Rhinolophus ferrumequinum: one gene and its partners. Each later gene encodes a partner of the first gene's protein in a complex. Links are inferred from orthologs where the notes say so. Each region holds a gene or a part of one and is shown in the gene's direction. Other genes may lie near its edges.

Region 1 (7,632 bases):
CCTCTGGTGAGAGGAGAAAGCTGCACCTCCAGTCCTTGCCCTGAAGCCAGACAACTCCGTTCCTCCCCTATGTCCCTGGCACCTTTCGATCTTCTGCCCCAGTGCTGGAGCTCAAAATGAGTGGGTCTGACAGCAAGTCAGTCTATGCACGGGCCCTTTAAGAGAAATGCCTGGGACTCCAGCTGCCCTCCGCTCCACTTGGCCACCATCCCCACTGGATTTCACAGCCAGAGGTTGTAGGTACTCCTCTCCCCGGCACTGGAACCCTAGGCTGGGGAGTTTGGTGTGGTGCTAGGACCCCTCACTCCTCCGGGATGGGGGCCCTCTGCAGCCGAGCTATCCCTCCCAATTTTAAATGGTCACATACGGGTGTGGGACCAGCCAATTCCGCATCTCTGCTCCTTCTACTAGTCTCAAGGTGGCTTCTTCTGTATGTCCTTGGTTGCGGGGCTTCGGTTCAGCTAGACTTCAGGCGATTCTTAATAATGGTTGTTCTGCAGTTTAGTTGTAATTTTGATATGGTTGTGAGAGGAGGTAAGCACAGTGTTTACCTACTCTGCCATCTTGACCAGATCTCCCAGAAACTAGCTTTTTAATTAATGAGCTCCTATGTTGGCTAGTGCCATTGGAATTTTGCTGTGGCATCCTAACTGCACTCAAGGACTCTGGGCATGAGGACGGAGCTGAGTTATTGACTCTTGGCATCCACATGAAGGCTTTTTCTGCTTTAGGGTTGAACATCGTATAAGTTACATCTTATCCAATGATTAACGTGAAAATTAATGAATGTTTAAAAAAATGTATATTAGTTGATGAAACCGTTTGAGTGTTTGCAGATCTGTACATGTCTTTATTCTGCCCTTGCACTTGACTGACAACCTGGTTGGATGTGTCAATCAGGATGGGCTCTGTTATGCTGAGGTAACAAACAAATCAAAAATCTCAGTGGCTTGAAACAGTAAACATTTTCTCCCCTTTTCTCTGCCTCCCCCCCTCCAGTTCAAGCCCTTGTTTCTCAGTCTAGTTGTGTAAGACACAGCTCCCTGGCCATGCTGGTATTATGAGTCTTGCGCTCCACCCCCTCTCCCCCTCCCCGGTTGTTTGTCTGTGGACCCGGCCACTCACAGCAGCCGGCCACTCACGCTGGCCAGCACACCATAGCCCACGGCAGCACTCAGCAGCCTGCGGCAGCTCACACCAACCTCTGGCTGCTCACGGCAGCCCAGCTCCAGGGAGAACTGTGTTCACAATCTTAGCTGTAGAGAGCACAGCTCACTGGCCCATGTGGGAATCAAACTCATGACGTTGGTGTTAGGAGCACAGCACTCCAACTACCTGAGCCACCAGGCCGCCCCCGCTTTTTTTTTTTTTAATAACAGCTTTGCTGAGATATAATTTACATGTCATAACTGTATAATTCAGGTTTTTAATATAGTCACCAGGTTATACAATTATTATCACCACTATCTAATTCCAGAACATTTCCTCACTGTGAAAAGAAACTCCCTACCTGTTAATATTCACTTCTCTTTTCCCCCTTCTCATAGGCCCTGAAAACCATGAATCCAGTTTTTGTCTGCATAGATTTGCTGATTCTAGACATTTCTTATAAATGGAATCACACAATAGGTGGCCTTTCGTAACTGCCTTCCCCTCCCCTTTCTCCTCCTTCTCATCCTCCTCCTCCTCATCTCCTCTTCCTCCTCCTCCTCCTTGAGTTTATTTGAGTTTATTTGAACCAAAGAGTTTATTTGAACCAAACTGATAACAATTGCTGGGGAGCAAAATCTCAAATGCTCCTATGATGGCTTCTTTTACTGAGCATGTTTTCGAGGTTCATCCATGTTGTGACAAGTATCAGCATTTCATTCCTTTTTACGGCTTAATAAATCCATTATATGAATATACCATATTTTGTTTATCCATTCATCAGTTGATGGAAATTTAGGTTGACACTATTCGGTATTATGAATGATGCTGCTTTGAACATTTGTATACTTGTTTTTATGTAAACATACGTTTTCAGTTCTCTTGCATATGTATGTAGAATGGCTGGGTCGTATGGTAATTCTGTGCTTAACTTTTTGAGGAACTAGCAGACTATTTTCCACAGTGGCTGCCCCATTTTATAATCCAGCCAGCAACAGATGAGTATTTTTATTTCTCCACATGATTTCCAACACTTTTTATCATGTTTTTTGTTGTCACCATTGATTTTTTAGCCATTCTAGAGGTTGTGAGGTGGTAAAGATGTATTTTTCATCTTCAACTGTGTCTCTTGTTCTGGTGTCAACCAACCAATCAATCATCAATCAGTCAACACAGAAACCATTCCTTAAGTCCTGGGATATGTTCTCTGAAGGATACAAACTAGGTCAATGTTCCTGACTTTGAGGATTTATGCTTTTTTTTTACAAAACACAGAGGAAAATTAACACTAAGCAGTCTAAAGCCAGTACCAAAAATCTTACTGGGGTCTCTAGGTCCCTGCAGGCTCTGGTCTATGTCTGTCTCTCCACTCCCTGACAATTGCTTCCTAGAAAACATTGTCCACGTTTTTTTGTTTTGTTTTGTTTTAACGTTATCAAGCTGCTTTCTGCCTCAGAGCCTTTGTCTTTGCTGTTGCTTCTCCCAGAGAGCTTCTCTCCCAGCTTCTACCCATGTTACCTCATTCCCCTGTTGGTTCAATGTCACTTTCACAGGGACACCTTCCCCATCACCCAAACCAAGACTGGGTCACTGTTCTCATCACCTTGCACTTTTTCTTATTGTGGTAGGCATGGTGGGAAGCAGAGTTGCGAGAGGTTAATGCCTAGGTTCTGGAGCCCCACTGCCTGGGTCCCAGTTCTGCCTTTGGTACTGACTGTGTAACCTTGGGCAAGGTACTTTATCTCTCTGGACGTGACTATAATAGAACCTCGCTGACAAACTCATTGAGAGGGTTAAATGAGCTAAGTCATTTACGTCACTTAGAATTTCTTTGGCATTCTCTAAATACTAGCCCTTGTTATCACAATTATGAATTAAACAATCATTTACGTAGATTAAAAAGAAATATGCCTTGTCAATGCTGTATCCTCAGCACGTAACACATTACTTATCACAGACTGGAATTTAAGAAGTATTTGTGAGTGAATGAAGGCCAAATGTATCCTACAGGATATCAGAGGAAGGAGGAATGCTATAGGAAGAGAGGGCCATCTCTAATCCACTGATAGTGAATACTTGGATTCCTGGGCAGAGAAAATGATTTTAAAGCTGCATCTGCGTTCACAGAGAGTGGACTGTTATTAACTAATCATGTCTGCTATGGGCACAGAAAAAGAAACAAAAACACCCACAGGACAAGCACTACGGTGTTGACAGCCCTGCTATAGAGAGGCTCTCTGTCATGTTGGAAACAGTCCAGAATTGTGAAGTGACAATTTGCCTCCTTTCCTCCACTGCCTGCCCCCAACCTCCACCTTTCCTCTGGACACTCAGGACTCCCTGTGGCATTGTACAGGCTGTCTGGAGCACTGTGACTCTTCCCACTATATCCACTGCCATTACAAGTCAGCAGTTTCACTCCTGCCATGGTAGGGCAACCAAAATGAACCAATCCCCTAATCACCCTAAACTGACTGGACTTGACCTCTGATTGTGTTTTCCTTCCCAGGGATATCTGCATTTAAATCTAGCCTGGGGGTGGTGTGTGAGTGTGTGTGTGTGTGTGTGTGTGTGTGTGTGGTTGAGTTTTGAATCAAATGCCCCAGAGCCCACTGCTGAGTGAAGCTGATGCAGACCCCTTGCCTACCCCACTGGAAGGTGGGTCCAGTGATGCCACAGCCACCAATTTTTCAAGAGAATCCAGAAATCTGGATGTTTACGTGAAATCTCCCAAGTATAAAGTTTGCAATGGAATAAAATTTTAAGAAAGTAATGTGAAGGAAAAAGAAAATGGTTTGGGGGCTGTATTTGGCCTATTGCTATCTCTGCAGGGGCCCTCACCAACCTTTCCAGTCCTCCTGCAATGGCCTGGTCCTTCAGAAACCAGCCTCTGGTGACTTCCCCTTCACAACACCACCCCAACCCCTTGTAGGAAATCTTTCTTCTTCTAGAACACTCTGGGGTTCCTCGTGGTAACTACCATCTTGAAATCTATTTGTGTTCTTGTCAGGTACCATGTATTATCCCATTTCAGCAAAACTTGGGAAAGTTCTGGATGTTTTATTTATTTTTAACAGACTTTAGTTTTTCTAGAGCAGGTTTAGGCTCACAGAAACTTTTTACTTTTACTTTTATTTATATGGTGCTTGTTTCTTAAGAGTAAATTCTTCAGGAGCCTATTTGGGGGGGCCTGGTCTGGGAGATGGAGGGCGAAGGAACAGCAGGGTGTGGGCAGCAGGCCCGGGCTGCAGAAGCCACTCTCCTCCATGGCCCTCGCTTTCCCGCTGAAAATGCAGGAGGTGGGACCCCGGCCTCGGCGCAGACTTTTTGCCTCCCATGCCCTTGCTTTCCCGACTCTCCCCTTCCCGCCTTAGTGGCGCAGCAGTATCTATTCCGGGTTTTCCCGCTCCCCGCCCCTCCCTTCCCAGGCTATGATCCGCTTCCGCGTTTTGCTGGGCACCCGGTCGCTAGGCGTGGGGGCGGTGACGCGCACGCGCGCAGAGAGTCGGCCCGGGCCGAACGCGCGGCCCGCGGATTGCGGGTGAGGGAGGGTCGACCTGGCGGGTGGCGGGCCCTAGGGGTCGCGGCCCCGGGCGGAGCGGGCGGGGGACTCGTCGAGGGCCTCGGGGTTCCCGGGCATGCGAGGATCAGGGGCTGGAACCAAGGCCGGGGCGGCCAGGCGTGTTGGGCCGGGGGCCGCGGGCGCCGAACCGGGCCAGGCCCGGCGGGTGCGAGGCCGCGCTTCGTCACGAACTCTGGGTGACCTTGGCCAAATCACTTAATTCTCCTGAGCCGGTGCCTTCGTCTGCGAAATGCGAACGATAAACCCCGCCTATTGGATGGGGCCGTTTGGAGATTCAGCGGCGAGACCCCCAGGAGAGGCCCGAGTCCCGGGCGGTTTGCGGGGCACCGCCCACCCCGGGTGAGGGCGAGGCCCTCCTGGGATGGCATTTTGTTACCGGCTTCCGGGAGGAGCCCTCGTGTGTGTTTTTTAAAACGCCAGAGTATTATGAAGTCGTTGCAAAACTTTTAACCAAAACGAGAGACTTGTGGAGCTTCCTTCCACGAGGCCCACGTTGCCCACCTGGTACTGCGACGCCCGGGAGGCTTGAGGGAGTGCTGAGAAGCATTAGCGACCCTTAGCTTGGGAAGAACTAATACCTGGCGTTCCTGTTGTTTGCCAAGACCCTTCTGGCCCACACAGGAAACGGAGGCGCTGGCCGAGCTAGTTTAGTATCTGCCCACGGGAGGCCTTTGGGACCCGTGGAGTCACTCGGCTTTCCAGGGAACGCGTTTTGTAGCGATTGAATATGGAGGAACGCTTGGTGCCCTAGCCTTTTTGGGGAGGTGGTGTGGGATCTCAGGAGCCCTCCCCATGGTGGATGAGGGTCTGCGGTGTGATAAATACTCAATTATGAATGATAGAGGGGTCACAAAAGTAAGAAGCATAAGAGATGCTCCAGGTTGGAAGACATTGAGACTATTTGAATTGACTGAACTTTTCCACTTCAGGCAACTAGCACACAGACACCGGGTCTCTGACTTGCTACCTCTCTACTGACATGGCCCACCGGGGTGCGGAGAGAGACTTCCAGACGTCAGCACGGCGCATGGGCACCTCACTGCTCTTCCAGCTTTCAGTGCATGAGCGAGAGCTGGACCTGGTTTTTCTGGATCATAGCTATGCCAAGCCATGGAGTGCCCACCCAGATGCCAGTAGTGCTCGGCCCACCCGCACGCTCTTTGTTACTCCCCGGAGGCAGCACGAAAGTACCATGTGAGTTTGGGCTCCTCTCCTAAGGGCTGCCATTGCCCTAACTAGGCAGTGATCAGATGGTGGGGATTCGAGAGGATTTTACTGTGGGAGACTGTGTGAGGGGCTTGGATGTTTAATTCAGGCATCTCTGGTAAGCAGCGGGAGGATATCAAGCCTATATGTGGACATCAACATTCAAGACATCTAACGATTTAGGAAAGCAAGATGTTCAAAGGAAAGCAAACAACCTGTTCCACTTAGGTAATAGGACTTGTTTGGAAAGAGGAAATTGAAGAGGATTATTTAACTGGTGAAGAAAAAGACTGAAGAGTTGACTTTTAAAAACTGCCATCCAGGATTAGACTCATTTCTTAGTCCAGTGTTCTGGCTTGCTCCAACTCTGGCAACAGTAACCTTTTTCTGGTAATGTGGTTTCTTTTCCTGGTTTCACCTACACAGTTTAGGAGCATATTCCCAAGACCTTGCTTTCTGCCTTAGCTTGTTACAGAACTGTCACTCAAGGGTGAGCTTACCTCTTAGGTCTCATTGTATTTTCAGCCGGCCTACATTATAGGGTAAGGAATTTTTTTCATAAATTTGGTATGTAAAAGGTGATACGATTACATTTGGCCTAAATAAACTTGTTTAGCAATTCTTTTGAGCTTTAAGGTGTTCTGATTACTTGTATTTCAAGATTTGTTGATATAGTCTATTTCGATGATCAAATCACGCCCTTCATTATTTTATAAACTGTTTTGGGGAAGAGGTTTTTTTTGTTTGTTTGTTGTAATCTGACCTAATGTTTAATCTTTCCTTTAGCACAGGTTTTAGGTTTGTTGGGGAATATCTAGTTTGTATTTTGCTTCTTTAGGTCCCCTACTCAGCTGTAATGAGCTTGGGATGCCATGATGTGTGTTTTAAACACGTGCAGAATAGTGGTTTTTATTTCATTTCCCAATGAGGGCAGCATTTAGTTGGCTGTTAGGTTGTGCAGGGCACGGGATCTGTGATTTTTAGGAAATAATCTAATCCTTCCGCCTGTGGCCCAGGGCATAACTGGTGAGCTCCTTTAAACAGAATCAGAAATCTTTTTCTCTTAGTTATGTAATACTTCTTGTTACATGAAACTCCTGTGTTTAAAGTGAGATTTTTGTGGACTTGGTTATTTCAGTACTTAGAAAATTATTTATAAACCGTCTCCGTAAATAGGCCTTGAAAGTGGAAGTTTGGCATGTTCCAGGAACTCTTTTTAGGTTGTTGTGTCTGGAATATGGTTGCAGCTGGGGTGTAAGTGGGAGCTGGGGGAGAGGTTGGCAAGGCTACCTCATGTAGGAATTTGATTCGAGGAGTGGTAAGAAGTCATTGAAGGGTTTTAGGCTGGAGATTGGATTTATATTTTTTAAAGATCACTGAACTTTTGTTGAAGAGATTATAGTGCAGGAGTGAAACAGAGAAGACCTGCTAGGAGGCCATTGCAGTAATGATGGCCAGAAACCACGATGGCTTGGATAGGGGTGGCAATAGCACAGACGGAGAAAAATGGGTGGCCTTGAGGTACATTTCATAGGTAGAATCATCAACTGGACCTGCTGTGGTGAATTGCAAAGAGGGGCCAGCATTATGGGGCAAGGGGAAATTAGGGTGACTCTTAGGTTTCTGGCTTGAGCAGCTAGATGGTGCCATGACTTGGGGAAGACTTGGGGAGGACAGGTCGGAATGGTGAAATC
Region 2 (7,063 bases), on another chromosome or scaffold:
CCGCTCCCCCCAAATTAGTTTTTAACTGTCATTTTATTGATATGATTATAGTTTTGTTTTAGTTTTGATAGGAGTATGTATTTTCTTACTGCACAAGATCCTGGGGGAATTGAGACCATTGGAAAGACCTAAGATTTGGTCATCACATTGCACCTGATAATATAAAGCATGATGTAGTTGGGGGCCGGGGAGGAACCCTCATTGAACATTGTTGCATAGATATGTGGAAGAGTAACTGGTACACAAAAAATACATAGCTGAACAGATGATAGCAAAATGTACTGCTTATCTAGCAAGCACTGTTAACATGATTCATGACTGTATAGTTGGTTTCTTTGAAAAATCCAAAATGTTGGTATAGACTAGGAGTGCATTGGGAAGGAAAAAATGAATAGCATTCTTGTTGGTGCCTGGAAAAATAGTGAATACTTACCCTTTTCCTGGGACATAATAAAATTATGCACACAGCCAATCTTGTAAATTACACATTTAAAGGGAAAGAATTTTTATGCTCAAATACTCCATCAAATATATGGTGACGGAAGATTCGACTTTGGGTGGTGAACACACAGTGCAATACACAGAAGATGTATTATTTAATTGTACACTTGAAACTTAAATAACATCATCAGTAGGTTCTTGGAAACTGACTTTAAGTGAAGTGACAGATAAGGAGACTAATTTTACCGTAGGCTAATTGAAGAGGTAAGTTCCTGTGGCATATTTCTGATTAAAAAAAAAATCAAACTTATAATAAGGACCCCAAACACTTCTAATATTAAACATTGAAATACTTGTGACCTATTATGCATACATTTAAGAAAGATTAATTTTAAAAAGTAAGATAATTTTCCAACCTTTTGCTTTTCCAACCCACCCTGGACAGAATGCCCCTCTCTATTGTAGGATGCATCTCATACACCCACACTCAACTCAGACTGGGACAATTTAGACAAGCCAATTCACCTCCCTGCACATCTTTAGGATGTGGAAGGAAGCTGTAGTCCAGGAGGAAACCCACGCAAACCTGGAGAGAACATGCAAACTACACAGTGGCCACAGCCGGGAAGCGATTCTTTTTTCTCAACGTTATAGCAAAATGATGCTGAACAAAAGGAAATCGATAGAGAACATGCTGCACTAGATACACCTTTTCTAAAATAGTTTCAGGCACTGCCCTGCTTTTCATTTATTCCTGCACCAGAAAATAGTACCAAATACTATGTACTGATTACTGATGGGAATATGGCATAAACAAGCATCCTGCCCTCGTCGAACTTACATTTAGTTGCAGCGGAGACAAAACAGTATGTTAGATAATAAATACTTTGGAGAATGTAAAGCAGGGAAAGAGGGATAGGGAGTTTGTATGTGTGTGCAGGTAAGTAGGATTGTTGAAATTGGAAATAAGACAGCAAAAGAGGAAGGTCTCATGAAATTACAGTTCAGCAAAGACCTGAAAAAGGTGAGAGAGCAAGCCATGGGAATAGTTGGGGTAAGATCATTCCAGGAAACAAGTGCAAAGGTTCTGAGGTAAGAACGTAGGAAAAAGGCCAGTGTAGCTAGTGAGGAGGGAGAGTAGTAGGATATGTGGTTAGCGGGGCAATAAAAGTCTAGATACACTAAGGTCTTGTAAACCATTATAAAGACAGTGAAATGGAGCACCACTGAAAACTTTTGAGCAGAAAAGTGACATAATCTAGCCTACGTTTTAAAATGTTTATTTGGGCTTCTGTGTTGAAAATGGATTGTAGGGGTCAAGGGTAAGGAGACTCACAATAATAAAGGTGAGAGATAAGAGTGGCTTGGAACAGGTTGGAGGTGCTGAAGGTAATGAAAAGTTACCTACCGTGTTTCCCCGAAAATAAGACCTAGCCGGACAATCAGCTCTAATGCGTCTTTTGGAGCAAAAATTAAGACCCAGTCTCATTTTACTATAAGACTCGGTTTTATATAATAGTAATTTTTGCTCCAAAAGACGCATTAGAGCTGATTGTCCGGCTAGGTCTTATTTTCGGGGAAACACAGTATATTGAAGTTGGAGCCAGTAGGAGCTGCTATAAGGTTGGAAGAAAAAAGTGAAGGATGACTCCCAGTATTTGGCCTGACTAACTGGAAGGATGGAGTTATATTGAGATGAGGAGGACTGCAGAAGGAGCAGGAGTTTGGCATTCATTATTCTCAATCTCTCACCTTTCTCTAGGATTAGCCCCCAAAACTCAAAATTTTAAAAAATTCCCTTTCCTTCAAGAATTCACTTTTCCCAACCTCTATTTGCAAACACCCTCGGGTCCACTTTAAACTGTCCATAGCTAGCAAAGTGTTCGTTCAGTGGATTAAAAACAGACATCTACTTTGTTAAACAGCACAAAGAATTTGCCAATATCTTGACCCTTTAGTAATATCTGCCTCTTCCCCAGTTTAGAAGGAAGGGGTTCTAAATAGCAATTTTTTGTCTCCTTTGGGCTTAGCAGGAGGATCGTGGTTTCAATTAAGATCTTCAGTAGACTCTCTAATTAAACAAGTCTTGGAAAGTCTTTGTTACATCCCTATCTAGTCCTTAATGCCTCTTTACATTATTTCCTATAGTAGTTTTAATATTCCTTTTTGATATTACCATAATTGGTTGCAGATTCTGATTCCCAGATTTTCTGTAATGTGACTGCCTCATAAAACAGTTTTGAGTTATGGGGTATTTATAACAAATGCCTTCTTTGTATAAGGAGACCAATTTTACCCTAGGCTAATTGGGTAAATTATTAAATCCTTAAAAATCCTTAAAGGACAAAATTGGGATTGTGCCTGCCATTTGCTTATGTATGTAAGTCATAGTTGCTATTAGGTTTGTATTGCATCCATAATCCCAAACTGCTCTAGAATGTTTACTCTAAAAGAGCAGGTTATCTTTCTTGTTCTCTCTGTATCCCCAGTGTCTGGCACTTAATGTATGTGCTCAATAAATATTTGTTGAATGAATAGATTTTCGGAGAGGGCCTTCTAGGGCTACCCTAATTTCTGGGAACAGCATCTCACCTGTCTCCCCCTCCTCCAGTTTTTGTTTTAATCATTCCTTGTGCCTAAACTGAGGGCTGTTCTTGAGTGTGTGTGGATTCTCTATGCTCACCTCCACTGTGAATCATGCTCACCTCATTGATAATGGAGAAATCTCTTACGTAAATGAAACTGACAGCAGATAAGGGTTCTTGGGCAGGTTGGGACGCAAAAAAGATCCAGAGGGTTATGGGGAGAAAGTGTTGGTTCATTTCTACAAGAGAACTGGTGGAAATGAAAAAAAGAGATACTTTAAACTTAAAAAAAAATCCTTAAAGGAAAGAATTGGGATTGTGTGCCATTTTTATATACCTGCATTATTTAGCATGGAATTGTAGAGAATTTTAGAGAATCATAGCCTAAACCACAACTCGTATTTCCTTATTTCCAGTCCAATCCTCTTTTTACTATATGAGAGACAAAAAGGGATACAAAATGAGGGCTGGGTTCAAGTTTGCCTGTCTCCCCATATACTAGATATGGGCCCATTCTGTTCCTCAGTTATCTTAACGTGGTTATAGAGATAATAGCCTCCACCTGTTAGGGTTGCTCTGAAAATTAAATGTTTATATATGTAATTTCCCAGATTTAAACACTCAGAAAATGTTTCAGTAAATGAATTGCTCACAAAAGAAAACTAAGGGCTTTTCCTGTATAAACAGTAAGAGTCAGATGTGTGATTTTTTTTTTTTTTACCGGTTGTATAGGGGTGCTGAAGTAGCAGCAGCCAAAGACCACAGAGTACCCCAAAAGAGGCCTGAAAACCAGACGCGCTGACGCTGAGTTGGAAATACGGCAGCAGCCGCGAGGGAATCCCGCCGCCCGCGCTGGCTCCGCCTCACTCTCCCCTAGTTGCTGACAGACATGTCGTCTCGCCTACCCCAGCCTCACATTTCTCATAATCCCGCCCTCCCCAACCTGATAGGTAGCAGGCTTCGGCCAATGGTGGCACACCGCCGTAGGCGCGGTAGCCAATCAGCGGTTGGGAGCCCGGAAAGGAGCGGGGCCGAGTTAGAAGCGGGTGACGCGGCCAGAGTGGTGCGGAGTGGCCGCGAAGGTAAGATGGCGGCGGTGCTTGCTCTTCATTTTTGCAGTTAGGCTGCTGTTTCGTCCCTTTTGCCCCTTCCGAGCTGCTCCTCTGCTTCGATTAGCATCGGGGTTGCTTTCCTCCTATAGGCTCCCAAGACCCAGATTCTCCGGTGCCCGGAGTCTTAGGACAAAATGGCGCTTGTACGGGCAGCCGAGGACAGGCAGGGCTCAGCCCTAAGCTTTGAGGCGGGCCGGGACAAAGGCCGTGTACTGGGAGGCGGAGGCGGGGCCCTGCGGCGCTGCTGCCTCCGCGTGGGGCGGGCGCTGGTGCTTCCCGCTAGAGCTGCGGGCTGTGCGAGTCCCTGAGATACTTTTAACGTGGTGGTTGTCGGGGTGGGTGCGGGCGTGGAGGGAGAAGTGGAGGGGAGGAAAATTCACTAATGCCTGGGGAGACCTGGCTGAGGGTAGTTACGGAGCATTACTTCTGTTTTTTAGAAACTACCCGCGGGCTGCCCGCATATTGTGGAGGATGAATTTTTGGAAAGGGTAAGGGCTTTTTTGGTCTTGTGTGTGATCCTGCAGGTTTTGGTATGAACAGGATTCGGATCCACGTCTTGCCGACCAATCGGGGGAGGATTACCCCAGTGCCCAGGTCTCAGGAGCCCCTCTCTTGTTCATTTACTCATCGCCCATGCTCGCAACCTCGTCTGGACGGGCAGGAATTTTGCATTAAACATATTCTTGAAGATAAGAATGCACCCTTCAAGCAGTGTAGTTATATATCGACGAAGAATGGGAAAAGATGTCCCAGTGCTGCCCCAAAGCCGGAGAAGAAAGATGGGTAAATATATGTAGATAATTTTGTTGTTTGTACTTTTAAAGTGAGAGCTGGATGGAGTATGATGTGGGTATGGGCACAGCTACCGAGTTTTTAGCTCACGTGCTTGTTAAATTGGGTTTATGACTATATCGTTGGCAAATAAAAAGGTGGAGACCGGAAGGAGACCACTTACAGTTGGGCCACTCAGTTCATCTCGTTGGATCTTTTCACTTATCTGTAAAATAAAGGGTTATTCTTAATCCTGGGATCCATGACTCTTTTGGCTGGGCCTGAACCTTGTTAAATAATACGCAAAATTGTATTTATGTGTATTTTTCTGGGAAAGGCTTCGTAGCTTTCATTATGTAAGCAAAAATATCCATGCAGAAGCATAATTTTGATAGATAATTCTGCATACACCTTTTGGTTTTAAAATTGTGTTCCACATCTTATTAACTAGTGTATTAATACTGAAGTAAAATGTAGAATTGCCTTCCAAAATCAGTTTTGAAAGACAAAAGTGGATCAGATTTCTTGTGAAATGATGTCAGCATTTTTATAGTGGGAATGTTTTGTTTGATGGATAGTGTACTAGATTATGCCACCTGCATTTCTCTTTAGTAATACTAAATGAGCTGACCATGGGCCAGTGAAATTACTCTGCCTCACTGGCCTTTTTAATGTATAAATGAAGATAATGATTATTTTAATTTCCTAAAAATGATCTAAAGATCTGCAACTATGGAAAGCACTGAATTCTTTCAAGAAGGAACCTGAGTATACAGTGTTAATATTTTGTCTCCTTAGGGTGTCCTTCTGTGCTGAACACGCCCGTAGGAATGCCCTGGCACTTCATGCTCAAATGAAGAAGACTGGTCCAGGCCCTGTGGGTGAAACACTCTTGTGCCAGCTGAGCTCATATGCTAAGACAGAGCTGGGGTCTCAGACTCCAGAAAGTAGTCGCAGTGAAGCCAGCCGAATTCTGGGTAAGGATCTTCTCCCCTAGAATGAAAAAGGAGGGAGAAAGTTAACAGAATTTATTTTGGTTGAGCACAGTGCCTTGAACATATATGGCACTTGATAATACAATATCATCGTTAATTCATTCCAGGATTGCTATGTTGTTCACGAATTCTTTTCAGTTTTAAGTAGTGTGTGCTTAGATTTACTTTCCTGAGTTTATGACTGTTTTCTTCATTGCTGTTTATATATTTTTCATCTTTGCTAGGTAAGGTAATTTCAGGAACCAAAAATAATTTTGAGTTGGACTTTCTGACCTTTTGAAGGCATGGTTGATTCATTTATGTTAAAAGTAATCTTACCTGGGTTGTATTTTTTTAAGCCATTTTTATTTGCCAGTATCTTTATACTACGTTATTTTAATTTGGTTTGATATGTTAAGTAATATAGTTTTGTGTGGTGGAGTTACAGAAATGGGAAGTCTTAATGGCTACTCTCCCTTCCTTGCCTTAGATGAAGACAGCTGGAGTGATGGGGAGCAGGAACCCATTACTGTGGATCAGACATGGAGAGGTGACCCTGACAGTGAAGCTGATAGCATAGACAGTGATCAAGAAGATCCCCTAAAGTAAGTTGTAACTCCACATAAGCTTTTAAATATTTTATGTAGTTACTATATGGAATGTATTGCATACTGTTGGTAGATTAATAACCTAGGAGGGTTGAAGATAGCTATTTGTGAGCAAAAATAGCTGTAAACTAAAGTGCCGTGGTTCATCACTCTTGCTTCAAAGCAGGATTTGATTCTCTTTTAGAAGTCTTTAATTTCAGAAAATTTTTGGACGTTAAATTATGCACTTGACCTTTTTACCTCGTTGCGCCCGAGGGAGCAAGATGGGTCACCAGCAGCTCTACTGGAGCCATCCAAGAAAATTCGGCCAGGGTTCTCGTTCTTGCCACGTCTGCTCAAACCGGCACGGGCTGATCCGGAAATACGGCCTCAATATGTGTCGCCAATGTTTCCGTCAGTACGCGAAGGATATAGGCTTCATTAAGTTGGACTAAGTGAACTTCCATGAGTGAATCATGCAAGCTAACTACCTTATAGCAGAAACAGTGTCAGCTCTTTGTACATAAAATAAAAAGGCTTTGATTATGGGGGGGAAAAATAACTTATGCACTTGAGAAAGTATAGGGGAGAAA
Region 3 (7,241 bases), on another chromosome or scaffold:
GTACTAAGGCTTGGAGTTCAGGAACTTTCCATGAGGCCCAGACTGCAAGACCTCAGGCCAGGGCCAAGACTCAACCCGCTTCCCGTGGGCCCCTAGTGCCTTGTGGAGGTTCTTGGACCTCTCAGACGCTGTTGTGACTGTGGTTTCCGGTTTTTTGAATTCTCACACTCAATTTGGCGCTGCAGATATCATACTCTAGTTCCTGCTTTGCAAACGGACATGCTGAAGCTTGATGATACTCTGAGTCCATAGGGTCTGTGGGGGCTTGCTTTTCTGTTTTAGTTTTCCTCTTTTCCCTTGAGTATTGTAAATGCCTTGGGGTTACATAAGGACAGAGTATAAAGGTTTGCCGGGTAGAAGCTGAAAAGATCACTTTTCTAATTGAATATCCGATCTCCTGTTAGATCTTTAGTTCTGCTTCTCTTTAGCTGGGGACATTTTGAATATTCTAGATGACAAGTCTAGTAAGAAAGCAATCAGAAAATCATTTCCCCGGAACTTTGCAGTTTACAATACATTTTCTCACATGTTATTTAATTTAAATGTGACAATGCTGGGGGTGATTGGTTAGCTCAGATGGTTAGAGCCTGGTGCTGATAACACCAAGGTTGCTGGTTCAGTCCCTGCATGGGCCACTGTGAGCTGCACCCTCCTTTAAAAAAAAAAAAAAAGTGACAATGCTGTGAAGGTAGATACCCAATTTAGAGTTGAAGAAAAGTGATGCTTAGAGAGGGAAAGCACTCTTCCATGCAGGTATTGAATGCTTCTTGTGCTACTGTATACCTTGTGTGTATGCAGGGAGCAATCTTTTTATGGGCTGGGATCACAGTTCTGAAATTGTTGGATACTTAGCAAGAGAGATTCTACTCTCTGGAGTTGAGGCTGCTACACATTCATTCTTTCAGTCATTCACTCAATCACAACTGTTAGTTGAATTCCTATTCTGTACAAAGAAAGGCTCTACCAAAGAAAGAATTGGGATGTTGAGACCAACTGCTATTGAGATTCTGGGGAGGCTCTTAAGGCAGAAAGTTGGAGGCTGCTAAGGAGGCAGTGGTAAGACCTGGGCTTTAGACCAGAACTTTGCAAACTGGAGATCTGTGGTTAGCAGTCAGTGAATGCCCAGTTTAGAAGAAGCTAGCAAGCCAGGTTTCTGCAGGTTTTTTAATCAGAAAGAGCTTAACTTCCAACGTACTTTATTTATATCTGTATCAAGTTAGTTTTGCCTAACAAGCATCAATTCTCCCCTTTTCCCGTTTGGAGGGATATCCTTTGGGGAAGATTGTTCCTCTCTTCTTTAGCAGCGTGGTCTAATCCATGTGATCAGAGATTGACCAATCAAAAACAGCTCTTGGACAAGACTTTGCCTCTTGAGTGAGTGACTCAAAGACAAGGGGATGTTAGGATTGAATCCCAGTTGTGGTGTGTGGTGCTGCTGGCCACATCAGGTGTTGCTTCTTTTTGGAGGTGTTATTGCACCTGATTGCTTTCCAAGCCTGGCCTCTTGTTGATGCTCTGGACCCCCAATATCCTTATATTTCTCTTTTGGTTGTTCTTGCAACAGACAAAAAATTTTTAACTTACAAATTGTGACGCTTTCTTTACCAGGCTGTGAGCTCTCTGAGAACAGGACCTAAATGTCATTCTGCTCTCTGTTTTGGTGCCCACCTCAACCTTGGGTCTAAATACATGCAGGTCGAATAAACGAAGAAACATTGTTATATTTTTATGGGACTATGGAGTCTGGGATTCTTGGCATTATTGTGGTTGTGGGGCAAAAAATTCTGTATATGCTACAATAGCCACTAACATCTGAGCAACTTCACGTTAACAAATGTAAACTGAGAGGATTCTGCAAAGGTCCTTTCTTCCTGTATTTGAGCACTTAGCTGAGTTCATGTAGGTGGTTCTGGTCCTCAAATTCCTGAAGGTATTTTGTGGGTTTTTTTGTTCGTTTGTTTGTTTGAATACTGAACACTTCACTAATTTGAATGTTATCCTGGGGGCTAACACTAATCTTCTCTAATTTGTGTATATGTGCTGCTGAAGTGAGCACAGCTGAAGCTTTTGTCCCTGGTTTCCCCAAACCTCTTCCTAAGCACTGTCCTCTGTTTTTTGTTTTTTTTTTCCTTTTATTAGCATTTATTTGATGTTGAATTTACTCCCGGGCCATAAGTTTTTGTTTCTTCAGTTTCTTCTGGGAGATCTTCTGAGCAACCTCCACTTCTGGTTTAGGAACAATTTGTTCTTTTTCAGTTAGGATCATCTCAATGTGGCAGGGGGAAGTTCATGTGTGGGTTAATGCGCCCGTGAGCTCTGTAAGTTCTCGCTGCATCTTGGGAGCTTTGTTCACCTGGCTCTGCTCAATGATCAGAGAGTCTACATCTAAACCCTTAAGTTCAGTATTACTCTCTGCATTTTTAAGCATGTGCAGTAAAAATTCTGCACTCTTTTTGGGCCAACGACCCTGTGTCCAACCCCACTGTTTGGCTTGGGCACACCTCCCAACTCCACCATTGTAACAACGGAATGGCACACATTGCTTTTGTAACGTGACATCCTTTAAATACTTGGTAGCTTTTCAGATATTCATACCCTTGATGGCCTGGGCAGTTTCACGAGTGTTCTTAAAATGAACCCGTAGATTTGAACCTCTCGATTTACATGATTTTGTGGGGTTCTCTGGGTCAAGAGAATAGCGAACCATTTTCAGAGGTCACCTCAGGCTGCTTTCGGGAAGAGCTGTCCTCTGTTTTTACTTGAGCTGAGGTAATGCCCTCTTCAGTCTCCAGCCCTGATATGAAAAGCACCTCTTCTATGGACTCAGGTCATAAAGAAGGATCTACCAATTTTTTTTTCAATGTTATTCTCTTTCATTCCTTTCACAGATACACATGAAGCATCTATTATTCGTCAGGTTCTGACAATTTATTAGGTACAAGATAGTCCCTAACTAAAATTCAGGAAGTAGACAAATACAACCAAGAGAACAGACAAATGAAATAATAACAAACTGTGCTAGGTGCTCTGTTGAAATTGAAGTGATAGAGAATAATTGCTATGGGGGAGGCATGCATGTGATTGAGGGAAGCATTTCTAGATAATGTAATCAAAGAGGATCTCACTGAGGAGATGACAAACAGACCTGCATGATGAAGAGTCAGCTTTGCAAGATGGAACAGCCTATTCAATGACCCAGCAGCTGGAGAGAGCTTGGAAAGAGCCATAGCAACTGACAGAAAGTCAGTGTGGCTAGAGGATGAAAAAGAGTGGAGGATGCAGATGGAGAGATTGTTTTAAGCAGGACAATGACATGATTAGATTTACATTTAAAGAAGTGCAATCTGGCTGCTCTGTCGTCTTTCCAATGTAAAATAAAGTTATTGCCCTCATAAATTACAAATGGTTAGCATTTCTCTTTGGGACTTTCCAAGTCTCATTGGGAAAACATCTCAGAACCTTCTGGGGTGGCTGCAACTCCCATCTCCGTCTCTGGAGGCTAAATACAGCTCTTCACACCAGTAATTGGAATCCTTACCCAGCAGATAATGAGACAAAGTGGAAGAGGGATTAGTACAAAGGCCCGGAGGTGGGAAGGTACCTGGCTTCTTTGAGGATTTGAAAGAGGCTGAGAACTGGGGAAGCTGGTTGTATTAGCATGTGAGGAGAGGCAGGTTAGGTCCAGACTTTCCAGAGCCTGGTAGATAGGTTTAGATCCTAATCCGAAGAAAAGTGGGGGGAAAAGACTTTAAGCCTGTGACTATATTTGCTTTTTGAAAAGCTCCTACTGTCTGTGTGTGGAGAATGGATTGGAAGGGGGAAGAATAATAGGCTGGAGGGGACAACCGTCACCTAGGAGAGAGGTGATGGTGGCCTAGACCCGGGAGTTGGGAATGGGATGGAGAGAAGTGGGAGGTTTCGACAGGCATTTAGGAGGCAAAATTAACAGGCGATGGATAGTGTCCAGTCCCAGGTTTGCTTTGGTCTCACTGATTGCAGGTGAGTGAGGACTTCGAGCTCCGTCCGCATCAGGGCGCCGGTCGGGTTCCCGCGCGTCAGGGCAGTGGGCGTGGCCCGCCTGAGCCGTCGCCACGGTGACCGGGTTGGGCGGGGCCGAGGGCGGGGCAGCTGGGGAGCTGCGTCACTCGGTGGTGGCGATGGTGCGTGTATGTGGGGGGCGGGGGATACGCTGGGCGCGTCCCGAGGGTCACGTGGTGCGCAGCACGCAGAGTCCTTCTGTCGGTTGGTCCTGGAGCGGCGCAGCCGGAGCCGGGCTGTGAGGTGAGCTCGCGGTGAGGCGCGGCGAGGCTAAGCCGGGTGGCCGAAGCCGGGTCGGGGCGAACCCGCGCCAGGCGCGCGCCGTGCGGGCGGGGACGGTTACGGACACCACCGCTGCTCGGGTCCCCTGCCCGGCCCCGCTCCCTGCTTGGCCCGTCTCGCCCAGCGCGGAGGGAGGCCCGGGGACCGCTGCTGAGAGCGTGGCGGTCGTGCGAGCGGCGCCCAATCCCCAGGGTTGCCCGCTGGAGTGACGGCGGCCGCGGCCAATCAGCGCCGCCTGAGGGGGCTGGGCCGCGGGGTGCGGGCCCAGGGCGCGGAGCGGGCCGTGTTGGGGGTGGGGGGTAAGCGCTAGGGCCACAGCTTGAACTATGAGGCCCCCGAGAGCTCCACCACCAGCCCTTGCTGTTTTCATGTGCTTTGGGAACGCTTTTTTTTTTTTAATTGACTGTTTTATCCTATTCTGGGAAGCACACCCCTTTCTTAACCCCCGACTATGGGAGTGTCCCCTTTCTCTAGTTTTGGAAATGTGGGTGGTGCACCCCCTTTCTGAGGCTCCAGCTCAGTTTCCAAAGCCCTTCGAACAGGATGTATCCCTTTTCCCAGACCCCCCCCCCCAAACTGGGAGGACACTTCCTTTTTCAAGCCTTCAATCTGAGCAAGCACTCCCTTTCAAATTTGGAAGTTCGCCGCATTAACGACTCTCTCAAACCTGGAGTCCAGTAACCAAGTTTTGGGGTACTTCTGTTTCCACAAATCCAAGGAAAAATCCCTTTTCCAGGCCCCAAATATGGCAACATGCTTTCCAGAATTTCTTAAATTTAGGGGACACTTCGTTTCTCCAACCCTGCAAATCTGGGGTGCACCTCGTTTCCAGATGTTACTGAAAATAAAATCGAAATCCTGAAGTTTAAGGGTACATATTTGCAATTACACAAATAAGGGAATTCGCTGCACTTTCCAGTCACTTTTTGGATTTGCATCCTTTTTCATGAGTTCCCCAAATCGAACTACCGTATTTCCTGGGAGATACTTATTTTAATGTCTGAGAGTGTGTTTGTATCCCCAAATGTACAGAATGCACCCCTCTTGGTTACACCATTCTCAGGGAGCAGTAACTTTCCTGATGCTTCTTAAATCTGGGAGGGCACACCTTTTTTCTGAGTCCGATCATTACCAAACCTTGGTCCATGGTTCTTGAGCTTTTCTGCCCTCCAAGACATTTTCTTTCCTCAGTTTCCTTCCCTTTTTTCCTTCCCATTTCCATTTAGGTGCTTTTCCTATCTGGTCATTGCACCCATTTCCTCTTCTATTGATGAATGGGTATCTTGAGCACAACACTTTCCCTGCTTCTATGGCCTTTTTTTCTGAGCACAATTCCCAGTCACACCTCCCGAATTCCCTTCCCCTAAAGGGAGGGTCCCCCTCCTAAAAGAGTGTCTGTATGTTTTCCTTTTCTATGTCTACTTTACCTTTTTCTGATTTCTGCTAACCGGAACTCTCTTCTCTCTCGGCTTGCTCTATCCCCAGGCATTTTTTTGGTTTCTAACTCTCATTGGACACTGCTCTGCTTGCTGGAGGCTGTAGAGATTTTCCCCTTTCTTCCCCTGGCGCTGGAGGTGACCTCAGGTCCAGGACTACCTGATGCCCCAAGCACTGAATTCAAACTGGAAATGAATCCCCTCTCATTTCTTTGGTTATTCACAGGACTCTTAATCCTCCTGGTGATTTGCTTCCTTTACCATTCTGCCTTGATAGTACTGTTTTCTTCTTTGCTTTATTTCCCTCAAGAAATTCTTTTAGTCTTGGTTTCAGCTAATAAAACTTCCTCTCTCTATTGGCTTTTCTTCTTTCCTTTTATCAAGAAAAGAGGTCATTTGAAGGAACCTCTTAGTCTTTTTGTTCTTGTCCATGGGTTGCAGGTGGGGGATGGACTTAACTCTCCCTATCATCCTCACACATATCTGCCAAGCCTTGCTCCCAACCCTCACCTTAAAATCTACAAGTATCTGGGCCCTCTTCTCTCTTTAAGAGCCTCTCAGTAGGTTCTTTTGTATTTTCCTCTGCCTTTCCAGATCTTACTTAGGGCTTTTCTGCCTGAGCCCCTAACCAGATTAATTTCTCCACAGCTGAAACCCCAAGTGCTTATGGGATAATGACACCTCTGACCTTTCTCCTTTTTTAGGAAGTACTTGAGTGTGCAGCTGTAAGAGGCCTCAGTGGAGGAGAGAGTTTGGGCCTGCGAAGCTATACTGGCAGGACAAGGCAGGAAAATACAGCATTTTTAGGATTACATCCTTCTGAATGTCATTTGGAGGTTGGACGTTTGCCAAGCACCTGCTTCATAGGGATGCTAGGGGATATAATGAGACTCCCAGGAACCTATAGGAAATAATGGGGCTTGTGGAGAAGTGTTCTGAACTGAGTGTTGGAACTTGAATAAAATTAACCATTATTGTATTTTCAGAATAACTAAGCTGTTTTATATTTCATGTTCAAGAAAGCCCTGGAGCTAGGTTGTGCTATTTCAGGAAGTGAAATAGATTCCACATTTAGATTATTTGGTCATTATTAGTAAGTACCAAATTCATGAAAAAACACTGGAGGTCTGTCTGAGCAGTACGTAAACTGTGATATACAGCAAGTGAACAGGTACTTTGTCTGCCTGTTTGGTGCTTATCTGTGTACTGCTCTGTACAGTGCAGTGTTCAACTACGCCACTGCTTCTCAAACTTGAATGTGTGTATAAATCACTTGGGCAGGGGCGGGTCTTGCTAAAATACTGATTGTGATCCAGTAGGTTTAGGGCGGGGCCTGAGTATCTGCGTTTATAATTCCCAGGTGATGCTAATGTTATTGAAATACACTGAGTAGTGAGATGCTATATATACATAATAGCCAAAGATTTCTCTGTGAAAATAGGTGATTGGTTAGCTTTATGCTGGGGTATTTCCATTTTCTCTTTA

Evidence for each region.
Region 2: KANSL3 (region 1) and KANSL2 share a complex: the UniProt entries of both Homo sapiens proteins name them as parts of the NSL complex. The link is inferred for Rhinolophus ferrumequinum from reciprocal best matches to the Homo sapiens genes KANSL3 and KANSL2.
Region 3: KANSL3 (region 1) and PHF20 share a complex: the UniProt entries of both Homo sapiens proteins name them as parts of the NSL complex. The link is inferred for Rhinolophus ferrumequinum from reciprocal best matches to the Homo sapiens genes KANSL3 and PHF20.

What each region holds. Positions count from the first base shown.
Region 1 is NW_022680356.1:2,127,210-2,134,841, reverse strand, and holds the start of KANSL3 (KAT8 regulatory NSL complex subunit 3), read left to right. Parts: upstream 1-4,609; 5' UTR 4,610-4,690; intron 4,691-4,761; exon of another isoform or gene 4,762-5,071; intron 5,072-5,661; 5' UTR 5,662-5,711; coding exon 5,712-5,926; intron 5,927-7,632. UniProt on the Homo sapiens protein: Non-catalytic component of the NSL histone acetyltransferase complex, a multiprotein complex that mediates histone H4 acetylation at 'Lys-5'- and 'Lys-8' (H4K5ac and H4K8ac) at transcription start sites and promotes transcription initiation.
Region 2 is NC_046293.1:49,833,343-49,840,405, reverse strand, and holds the start of KANSL2 (KAT8 regulatory NSL complex subunit 2), read left to right. Parts: upstream 1-4,026; 5' UTR 4,027-4,108; intron 4,109-4,575; exon of another isoform or gene 4,576-4,662; 5' UTR 4,663-4,670; coding exon 4,671-4,921; intron 4,922-5,707; coding exon 5,708-5,886; intron 5,887-6,373; coding exon 6,374-6,488; intron 6,489-6,585; exon of another isoform or gene 6,586-6,712; coding exon of another isoform or gene 6,713-6,925; exon of another isoform or gene 6,926-6,967; intron 6,968-7,063. Other genes in the region: 40S ribosomal protein S29-like, read left to right, coding at 6,713-6,925. UniProt on the Homo sapiens protein: Non-catalytic component of the NSL histone acetyltransferase complex, a multiprotein complex that mediates histone H4 acetylation at 'Lys-5'- and 'Lys-8' (H4K5ac and H4K8ac) at transcription start sites and promotes transcription initiation.
Region 3 is NC_046306.1:19,771,557-19,778,797, reverse strand, and holds the start of PHF20 (PHD finger protein 20), read left to right. Parts: upstream 1-4,155; 5' UTR 4,156-4,281; intron 4,282-7,241. UniProt on the Homo sapiens protein: Methyllysine-binding protein, component of the MOF histone acetyltransferase protein complex.